2 linked regions of the Solanum lycopersicum genome follow. The protein of the gene in region 1 interacts with the protein of each later gene in a pairwise test. Links are inferred from orthologs where the notes say so. Each region holds a gene or a part of one and is shown on either strand. Other genes may lie near its edges.

The links.
Region 2: the proteins of CDC5 (region 1) and pre-mRNA-splicing factor SPF27 homolog interact in binary tests that used the Arabidopsis thaliana proteins (3 or more experiments, as listed by UniProt). The link is inferred for Solanum lycopersicum from reciprocal best matches to the Arabidopsis thaliana genes CDC5 and MOS4.

Annotation. Positions count from the first base shown.
Region 1 is NC_090803.1:3,832,371-3,837,237, reverse strand, and holds the start of CDC5 (CDC5-like protein), read right to left. Parts: upstream 3,238-4,867; 5' UTR 3,030-3,237; coding exon 2,853-3,029; intron 1,906-2,852; coding exon 211-1,905; intron 1-210. Other genes in the region: protein CHLOROPLAST J-LIKE DOMAIN 1, chloroplastic, read right to left, coding at 4,797-4,859. UniProt on the Arabidopsis thaliana protein: Component of the MAC complex that probably regulates defense responses through transcriptional control and thereby is essential for plant innate immunity. Possesses a sequence specific DNA sequence 'CTCAGCG' binding activity.
Region 2 is NC_090802.1:64,590,746-64,595,797, forward strand, and holds the start of pre-mRNA-splicing factor SPF27 homolog, read right to left. Parts: upstream 3,193-5,052; 5' UTR 3,118-3,192; coding exon 2,884-3,117; intron 2,675-2,883; coding exon 2,499-2,674; intron 1,727-2,498; coding exon 1,643-1,726; intron 1,279-1,642; coding exon 1,209-1,278; intron 1,126-1,208; coding exon 992-1,125; intron 910-991; coding exon 852-909; 3' UTR 851-851; intron 253-850; 3' UTR 1-252. UniProt on the Arabidopsis thaliana protein: Component of the MAC complex that probably regulates defense responses through transcriptional control and thereby is essential for plant innate immunity. Involved in mRNA splicing.

The DNA.
Region 1 (4,867 bases):
TTTCTTTTCTAGTCTTACGTGACACTAACTCTCATTTGAAACTCTTCCGCTCAGTTGTTGCTGGGATGTTAAAAAAATAATTTCCAAATTGATTTATATGGAATTTAGACAACTCTTTGTCATTTTTATGCATAAATGCAGGTAAGGAAAAAGTATATCGACAAAAGATGTAAAGAAAACCATTTTTTTCTCTCTGTAACATGAACGTACCTCTTTTAATTCATCTTCCTCAAAATCCTCAATAGCAGGTTCAGCAACAATTTTTCGCTTGACCCCCTTTTTCTTCTCCTTCTCTGGCTTCTCATCTAGAGGGTACTTGGTATTATCATGTTCTAGCAAGGACACAAGTTCCTTTCTAATCATTTCATCAGCCTGCTCAATTAGTGTAGGAGGAACAAAGGAGCTCTTGTCCTCATCAGCTCTCATCAAGGAACTCTTTATTAGTTCTAGAGAAGCAATGGGAGGTCTAGGGAGCTCCCTTTGCAATACTTTTGACCTTTTACGGAGTAATGCTTGTCGCTTTGCTTCTTCTTCAGCCTTCTCCCTGGCAATCCTATCAGACATGTCTTCTTCGATCTTCTCTTCTGGTTCTTCATTTTCTTCAGGAGGTTGTTGGATGACAATCTGGTACTCATTCTTGGGCTGAGGAAGGCTTTTCAAACCAGAAAGCAATTCTTTTTTTGAATTAAATTGCCCCAGTTTAGCATTACTATGCATATCCATTTCTTCATTAATGCGTAGCTCGTCCCTCATAGGAGTTCCTTTGGGTGTCATCCCATAAGAATCTCTCGAAGGTGTCATGCCAATTCTAGGAGTAAGGCTCGTGGCTCCAGGAGTCGCTGAAGGAGTTAAAAGTGGGTTTGGAGTTTGAACCTCCCTTTTCTTAGGAGTGACACCCGAGAAATCTGAGGGGTGCAACAAAGGATTATCTCCTCCAAGTAATGGTGTTTGAGATTGAGTCAATCTTCGTTGATTTTCTGCTTCCATCATAATGGCGTCTTGCTTAGTTGAAGGGGTTCTTTGAGGTGTTCGCATAGGAGTCATAGCATGTTGTGGTGTCTGGGCATAATTTGCAAGAAGAGCACGCGTTGCAGCATTCCCTTCGGACAGTTCATCTCCCCCAATTAGATCACTGGCAATACCTATCTTTGCTATGGCCTCCAATTCATGATCTGGAATCTGTGGTGCTGGAAGATTCAGTTTCGACCTCTTCCTCACTGCTTCTGGATCATTAAGTTTGTTCGCATGCAATATGGATGTAGGGGCATCCTGTCTCTCTGCAATTTTGTTCCTCGCAATATCCTGCTTCCTTAGGCGAGCTTCCTTATCGACTCTCCTTTCACCTTCTAGTTCCTCAATGGTAGTTGGAAACTTAGGTTGATCAACTGGACGGTCTTCCTCAGTGACATCATAGAAACCTGGAGGAGGCTTCTTTTCAAAGGGAATTTCAGCATTGTAATCAATACCTCTCCTTTTTCTCTTCCTTTGACGGACATCTATTCCAGCAGCCTTCAGTTCTCTCCTCTTCTGTAAAGAAGCAAGCCTCCGCGCCTCTTCAAGCTGCTTTTCTCTGGCTTTCCTTTTAGCCTTCTTGCCTCTTGTGTTGGCCAACCTAGCCCGTGCTTCAGAAAGCATTTCTTTCTCGTCCTCATCCATATCAACAGGATCAGGACGAGCAGGCTTTGATTCCGGGTTAGGATCAATCTCTCCGGGCTTCAATTTTCTTGGATCATCATTAGGATCATAGTTCTCATCCTTAGTACATGCTGCATCGAGAAGCTTCTCATAACGTTCAAGGCATTGTGATGGTGTACGGCCAACGATTGGCGCAATTGTCCTCCATTGGGTAGGCATGAGTTTTGCAAGGTGAAGTAGTTTTTCATCCTCCTCTCTAGTCCATTCAGTCTGGAAGAAAATAGCAGTAAGTTGTGTCAAGAAGTGGTTAAGCTAAAACATAAGTTCCTACCAGTCTTGAGGTAAACTTGAAAAACTGTGACTTCTCCACTTTCTCTATTCAGAAAATCATTAGCTGTCATTGATAAACGGAATAATAGAAAAAGATTGGAAAAACTCAGACAGAAATCTCCACACAGAAAACTAGTTTCAGATCTTGCATGCCAATAATCAAGCCAAAAACAAACTGGTGCAAAGCCACAGTATGCTCACAAAACAGAACTTCTCTAGTTCACAATGGAATAGGATGAAATCTGAAATGTGACAGCTATCAACAAATACATAACGGTGTCACACATAACAAAAAAAGATAACTCGCATGTCGCATTAAACTAAGCAAGAAAAAAGAACCAACACCCAGTGAACTAGAATGTTATATATTTGGTTGTCAGGGTCTGAAATGAGAAGTATTTTACTCAATTTTGGAGGAAAATAACTTCCACACTAACTAGTTTCCTTCTCGGACATCTTTAACACACACTTCCTGCCACTCTTTTGAATCAACAATTGAAAATTACAACAACATGCCCGGTATAATCCCACTTGTGGTCTCCTTTTGATGGTATAGTCCACGCAGACCTTACCCCTACCTTGGCACTTGAACAATGATTCGCAAAATCTAACATTCAAACCTATCCTCATACCTATCATGCAGCTGGTACTATGAGCATATGTCACCTACTGTTATACCCTCTCCACAGCAAAAGTTACCAATCAAAAACAGTTTTCATATAACCTTTTACCAAAACATATGAACAAACTCATTTGGTAAGTAATGCAGGCCAATAAGATAACAAAACAATTTATCTCATAACTTGTACATGTATCTACTAGCTACCAAACAACAGTAGGATATGACTCACAAACAAGCTTAATTCAATAGAGAATAAAAAACTGACCTTCTTAATTGAAGGATCGAGCCATTCATACCAGCGAGCTTTACACTGCTTAGCAGATTTACGAACAAGTAAAGAAGAAATACGAGCCCACTGATTCTTCCCATACTTCATCACCGCCGCCTTTAGAATCTCATCCTCCGTGTTCTTCCATACTCCTCCCTTTATCATAATCCTCATGTTTGCTAACTATTTCAGTCTCCCAAGGGAGACTCCGAGAAATCTAGGGTTTTGGATAAGTATACCTCAGATTTTGCCTGTAAATGAGCTGAAATCTATACGCCGGCGAGAAATGACGGTCTCCGGTAGAGTAGATTCAGGCCGCGGCGGCGTTTTTCCGCTCCGACGAGAAGATATTTCGGAATCGGTTTTTAGCTCCGAAGCTGATGAGATTCCATTAGTGTAACCTTTCGATGAGTTCTCCAAATTCGACTTGTTTTGGAATTTGGGTTTGGATAGTTTAGGGTGGTGGGCTGGGCTTATTTTGGCCCATCAATACATTGTTGGGTTTAAAAATGGATTGTTTGCATGGGATGACAATAATTCGACTTGCCGAAATTTCACTAGTTTGTAATATTACGAATCTTATCATATTTTTGTGCATCTGGATACTTCAAAATTAGGTGTAAATTTTTCAAGATACACTGTATCCAAGTGAATTTGCATGTATTTGAGATAGATAAATTACACTCGCCGCCCTCCCATCTAACTCGCCACTCTCCTATGTCTATGGTATCTCTGATACCTATAGTGTGATTCGCGCATATATGATATACATGACTATCTTGATCGTTTCTCTCCCTATTTTAGTGTATGTGGTAGCAAATATACATATATTTAGATGTATCTTCCTAATATATAATAGGAAACTCTTAATTAGTGGTAAAATACGCTAATTACTTAAAAATATAGACAAAATTAGTATATATGGCATGAATGTATGTCTAATAAAGTAGTTTTCTCATGATTTATAAGAGAGATGACCATAAAAGTAGATGGTTTTAAACTTTTGACCTCGTTTAACGATGGGAAATTTTTTAGCTTTAAAACATTTTGACTAGGTTAAATTCACAAATGGTTTTACTTGAGCTGTCAAAATAGGTTAGTCCATGGCGACGGTCCAACCTAAATCGCTATTAGAATAGGATTAGAATAAGGTTTTTCCAGCCTATTTAAGAAACTAGGGCTTATGACTCAATCCAAGTAAGCGTTTGGCCCTTGAGGCTTCATTGACGCCCGGTCGGGATTGGTTAAAAGTATTATCTAATTTGAATTAAATTACTAAAGTTTTAAGAGGTAATTGTTCGTTAAGTTACAAATTAATTTTTTCAAATTTATGTTATTTATTTGTCAAAAATCATTATTATATTTCTTTTAGTAGATTTTATCTAAAAGTATTGAAAAAATATCATTTTCAATTTGAAAATTTTCTCCCTTTCTTGATCTTATATATGGAATTGTAATTTGAATTACCATTAACCATATTCATAAAGTAGGATATGATTGAAACTATTATGTACTTTCATATAATTTTGTTAGCCATGTTAAAATTTGAAGTTTGAATTTAGATTTTTTTTGAAAAAAAGAAAGAAAGAATTATTAGAAAAATGAACGGAAAAAATAAAAATAAAGAAGGGCTAGCCTGCACAAGCCCGCAACCCTTGTAGAGTTGGGCATTTCAAGACTGTTTTTCAAATGAAGGATTGATCCGCCCTAACCTTTCCTCCTCATTATCATTTATATCTCCACATTAACATCCATCAATTTTGAAAAGATTGTGGTCTTGTTTAATCCTAGAATCCTCAGAACTTGGTGCATCCTTACAAGTGCTGCTCAATCAAATCCTATAGACAAAACAAGGCAAATTTCTGGAACAAATAGAATTACAAAATTTGACAGCTAACACAAGGCAACTGCATCTCTTCTTCAACAAGTGTAGAAGGTAGACTATCTGTAATAAGATGCGATGATGGAAAGCACGATGGCTGTGAATCCAGTTACAAGCAATTCCTGCACGC
Region 2 (5,052 bases), on another chromosome or scaffold:
AGAGCTGTTACCAAGATAAGGAAATGAACATGTGCACAAAGAAATGGTCCATACAGAGGGGCAAGGCAATGCGTTTTTCCACACTGGACACATTCCTCACCAGGTTTGTAAAGCAATGCCTAACAGAATATTGCCAACAAAAGACATGGTCAAACCTCATCACACTGACCTAAAGCGAGGACTTCAAACCTTAGAGCAACTTCTCCAGCTTAGTCCAGCAGCAGCAAATCTTCATGATTAATGGACCTACACCTACATATTCCCTTCACAATATTAGTTCCGACAATTCTCACACACATCTTAGAAATTGACAAGAGAAAGAAGGAAGCATGGCCTACAGCCTCTGTGATTAAACATAAACCCCCAGCCAAACCCAATTTTTGTAGTATCATCATCTTCCTCCACGGGGTTTTATAAAACCTTGTCTATGCAACCTGAATTTTGCTAAGGAAATATGATTCCAGGAATTGGTTTTTTCATGTCTGGAAATGGAAAAAAAATGATGGAATTTTTCTTTTTAAAAATTTGTTACATTATTTTATAGGAAATTGAAAAGATCAGAACATTGCAGATCATAGTTTTTTTTGTTCTCTTTTTCTTATCTTCTTTCTCATCTCACACAATTGGCTCTTTAACTTATAGAATTGTAATTTTTTATTTCTATTCTGCACTCCCCGTGTCATACTTTACATTCATCTCAACCATCTAATTCATTCTCCATTTCCTTCAACCTAAATCACCCTTGTACCTCCCCCACTTTTTTATCTGATTGCCCCCTACATGTTTATATCATTGATAACTAATCCAGAGATAGAAACTAAGCATAACATAATAATAGCGAAATCAATACCTCATAATTCTGCATATGGCATTTTGCCATTCTCAACATTAGCCTCCAAATTCCAGCCCCTGCCGTAAAAGAGGTTAATATCTTAAAAGCTAGCCTATTAAAACCATAAAAGGCATCAATGATATGCAATAAAAAACCGACCTCTCTTCAGCCTCCTTCTTCAGTTGTTCTCTGTGGTCTTGTAGTTCCCCACATGCAGATTGGATTTCTATATTTTTCAGACAGAGCTCTTTCCATTGCATGGACAACGCATTGAGCTCATATGCAGTAGTTTGCTGTTATGCAATGGCGAACAGATCAATAAGAACAATGCAAAACACTACAGAAACAGATCAGTAGTGATACAAGATACTTATACCTGATGATATTTCCTTTCCCTGTTTGCTGTTTCTATCATTTCATTCAGTTCAGCAGCTTGTGATTGCATTCTGCAGAAAATTAGTTTGATATCAGCCATGGAAGGGATGCAGAGGAGAAAGGTTGAGCAATCATGCTCTTTTTGTAAGAGGCATAATAATACTGTGCAGAACTGGTTCCAGTTGTGTAAATACAGTGATAAATACTTCTCCCTTTTGAATCAACATTGCACCAGCAGTGAAGAGGGGAAATTGTTTGATCATATCATATTCTTTCCTTAAGTAGCAGTACATTGTTAAGGATGAGATAGCTGAACAATAACAACTACCCCTTTGTCCCAAACAAGTTGGGCTCAGCATCAGTAAATTGTTAAATAAGGATGCCAAAATATGCCATATTAGAGCACCATGAAAAATATAAAATTAGAAAAAGAACCTGGCTAGAAATGCCTCCAGTTGTTGATTGTACAGCTTCCACACATCAGGACCATGCTTTGACATTAGATCCAGATTTTCTAGCCTATAAAATATCAAGGTTAACTTTTGGTTACAGAAGCAATTAGCACAGTTGCGCAAAACAAAAAAAGGGGAAATTTTTTAACCAAAATATATCGAAGGCATGAATGTTTCAGTAGCAAAGTACTAGATGCCTCCATATACAGGTAGGACATAGTGATGTAAAAAACACTTTTCCTGATTAACAAAAGCTAAGTAAAAAGCTTTGGTAACAAAGTGACAAAATTCACATGTCTTCTGTTAGGATATGACCTGCTGAAGCTGATAGTATATAAAGTTCTCCAGAATCCTATTTCATTGAAATATATACAAACACACTCCCCAACACGTGACAAATAGTACTATGTTTCGCCACTCGTCTTGCAGGCTTTTGGATTCGGCATAGAAGCCAAAACAAACATAATGCTTCTTAATAAGAAGTTACTTGAAAAATGCATTATGGAATCACCATATATTAGCTATTCCTTTGAAAAAAGTACTCTTTATCATGCTTCACTGCAACATCTATTTTATTAAACCTTGTAGCCTTACAGACTCCATTTCTTTTGCATTTAAAGATAATTGAGAAACTGATACAAAAAGTTTCTTCCTACCAATAAAGGTTATCAACTATCATGTGCTATATCTAGATTACAGACATATATATACTAATTGTTGGACAAATGCTTTGATCATAGAAAAAGAGAGCTTAAACTGAGAACCATGAGTATATAATTAGCAAAGGGAACTCTCACAAATACCACCTCTATTTTCACCTCTGGATACAGGTAGCCTACCTGATTACTTGATGCTGCAGTAATCGCTGAGCTTTTTGAAGAGATTGTTTCCATGCAGTTTCATCATTGCGTTTGTTCACAGGCGGCACCTCAAGTCCATATCGTGAAGTATCTATTTGTACTGGAGGTTTTCCAGCTCTCACCCGCTCATATTCCCTCGCAAGCATAGGATGATTCTAAAACAAATTCATTCATTAGATGAGCAAAAACCATGGCCACATCAAGCAGTTACCAAATCAACACAATTCAAGACAAAGTAGCAATTGTAATCCTTCAATAAAGCTAATTCTTATGGAAAACATGAGTACTTCAAAAAAAATGGAACCCTAGAATTCACATTGAAAAAAGTTGAAGAGAAGAAGTATAGGCAAGTATAGATTGAAACCTCGAAGTTGAATTTACGAAGAGGAGGGAGGTTTTTGAGGAAATCGGAAGGTTTTTTGGAGCTGCGGCGCATCTCCTCTTCGACCAAACGGTCCACCTCTTCTTTCACATTGGGATCACCGTAGTCGTCATCAATGTACGGCAACGCATCTATCACTTCCGCACTACTAGACACCGCCGGACGATACTCCGGCGGGGCCTCTAGCATCAAAATGTCGCCGTCTTTTGTCGCCATTATTGCTCGGACCTTCTTACCGATGTGTAATAAGCCAGCAGCGAGTATAATAGCCCTGACTGAGGAGGGAGCAATGTTTATTCTTTTTCATTTTATAGGTTATTCTTTTTCTTCCCATTTTACCCTTGTAAATATCCCAAAGTCCCCAATAGGAAATAGAGCATATTTTTTCTTTTATCTTTTTTTTTTTAGTTTCGTTTATTTTTGCTTCTCGATAAATAGATCTTTATTTTTATTTTTAATGTTAAGTTATTTATTTTCCTAATTATTAAAAATATCTAGCACTTTATTTTAGTTGTCATAATATAATTTAATATAACCGTTAATAAAAAAAATATTAAGGAATGTTGTTTGACCAATATATCCCTTAATACTTCTTTAATCTTTATTTATATATATGTCTTTTAATTCTAGAATAATTAATTTCAATGGTAAAGTTGAAAAATTATAATTAATTCTCTTTTAATTGTGTAACACAACTATTTTGTTACAAGTGTTTATAGTATACCTAACAACTAAAAGAAACAGAAGAAATATTAAATAGAAATAATTATATAAAATAACAAACTGTTAATCTAAGTTAAATGTTATAGTCATAGTTTATTTTAATTGTAATTTGCACCGAACTTTTCCTTTTTTGCCATATAATTTGATATATAGCTAGCCATTTTCGGTATACAATTAATCATTTTATACATTTCGACATAAAATGTATAAAATGTGTTTTTATTTGTATAAAATGAGAGAAAAATATATATACAAATACAAATGCAAATATTTTTGCTATAAACTTATAATTATAAAAATACAGATGTTATTATACAAATTATAATATATAAATGAATTAATACAAAACTGAACAATTTTTATAAAATTGGATGTCATACAAATCAAAAGCTTTATATCAAACATAAAATTTGTTATGAAGCGCAATTATGCAAACTATAGTTATAACATACAAATATAATTTTTATGTTTGCTATATATGAAAATTGCTCTATTAAATATCAGTTAATATGAATAGAATGATCTGATATTTTCTGAATGAGCATGTTAAATTCAAAAATGATAAGTAGAAATAAAAAGAGAAAGTAACTTTTATCATTCTTATATTACGGTATTTAAAAAAATAGGAAAAGTCAGGCTATAAAAGAATAGTATTGACATATAAGTCACTTCCAAATGAAAGTATAGATTAGCTAAATATCCTTATAACTCTAAAAAAAAAAAACACTGTAATTACACTCTTTATCATTTCAATTACATTATGAGATCACTCTTCAGTTCCTACGATTTAAAAGTAAGTATATGTTACTTTCTTAATTGATTATATATTTTGATTATCTTGATAGTTTAGGATTTTTGAATAATAAAACTAAACTAAACTACTACGTTTATCTTGTAATTTTAATTTTTTTAGTAGGTGAGGACCATGAAGATACTGGGAAACATTCATCATTAATCTTAAAGCAAGCTGCTAGGTGCCTAATACCTTGTCACAAAGCATAAAAATTCAACTATCATTAATTTCGCCGTCAGTACTGTTCTTGATGACAATAATAACGATTAAACAAAGATATTAGGCAGATTCACTTTATAATATTAAAGTGAGACACGGAAAGTATTCCTCAAATTCATGTAACAACATGTGATAACACTGCTTCTTAGTAGTATTTTTTATTTCTTTAAATTTCGTGTTCAGTCAAACAGTACGGGAGGAGACTATTGTTATTATATATAAAAAGGCTCCTCCTATGACTGAGTATAGCTACTTGAGAAAGCAGAGGAGAGAAGGAAACTGTTTAGTCCAACCCAAGGTGGGGTATTGGAACTGATCTTTGCTGCTGAATCATTGGCTCATGAGCATGTCAAAGAAGATGATTGAACATTCTGGACATGTTCTTGCTCCAATGATGCAGGAGCTGAGCTCGGTTT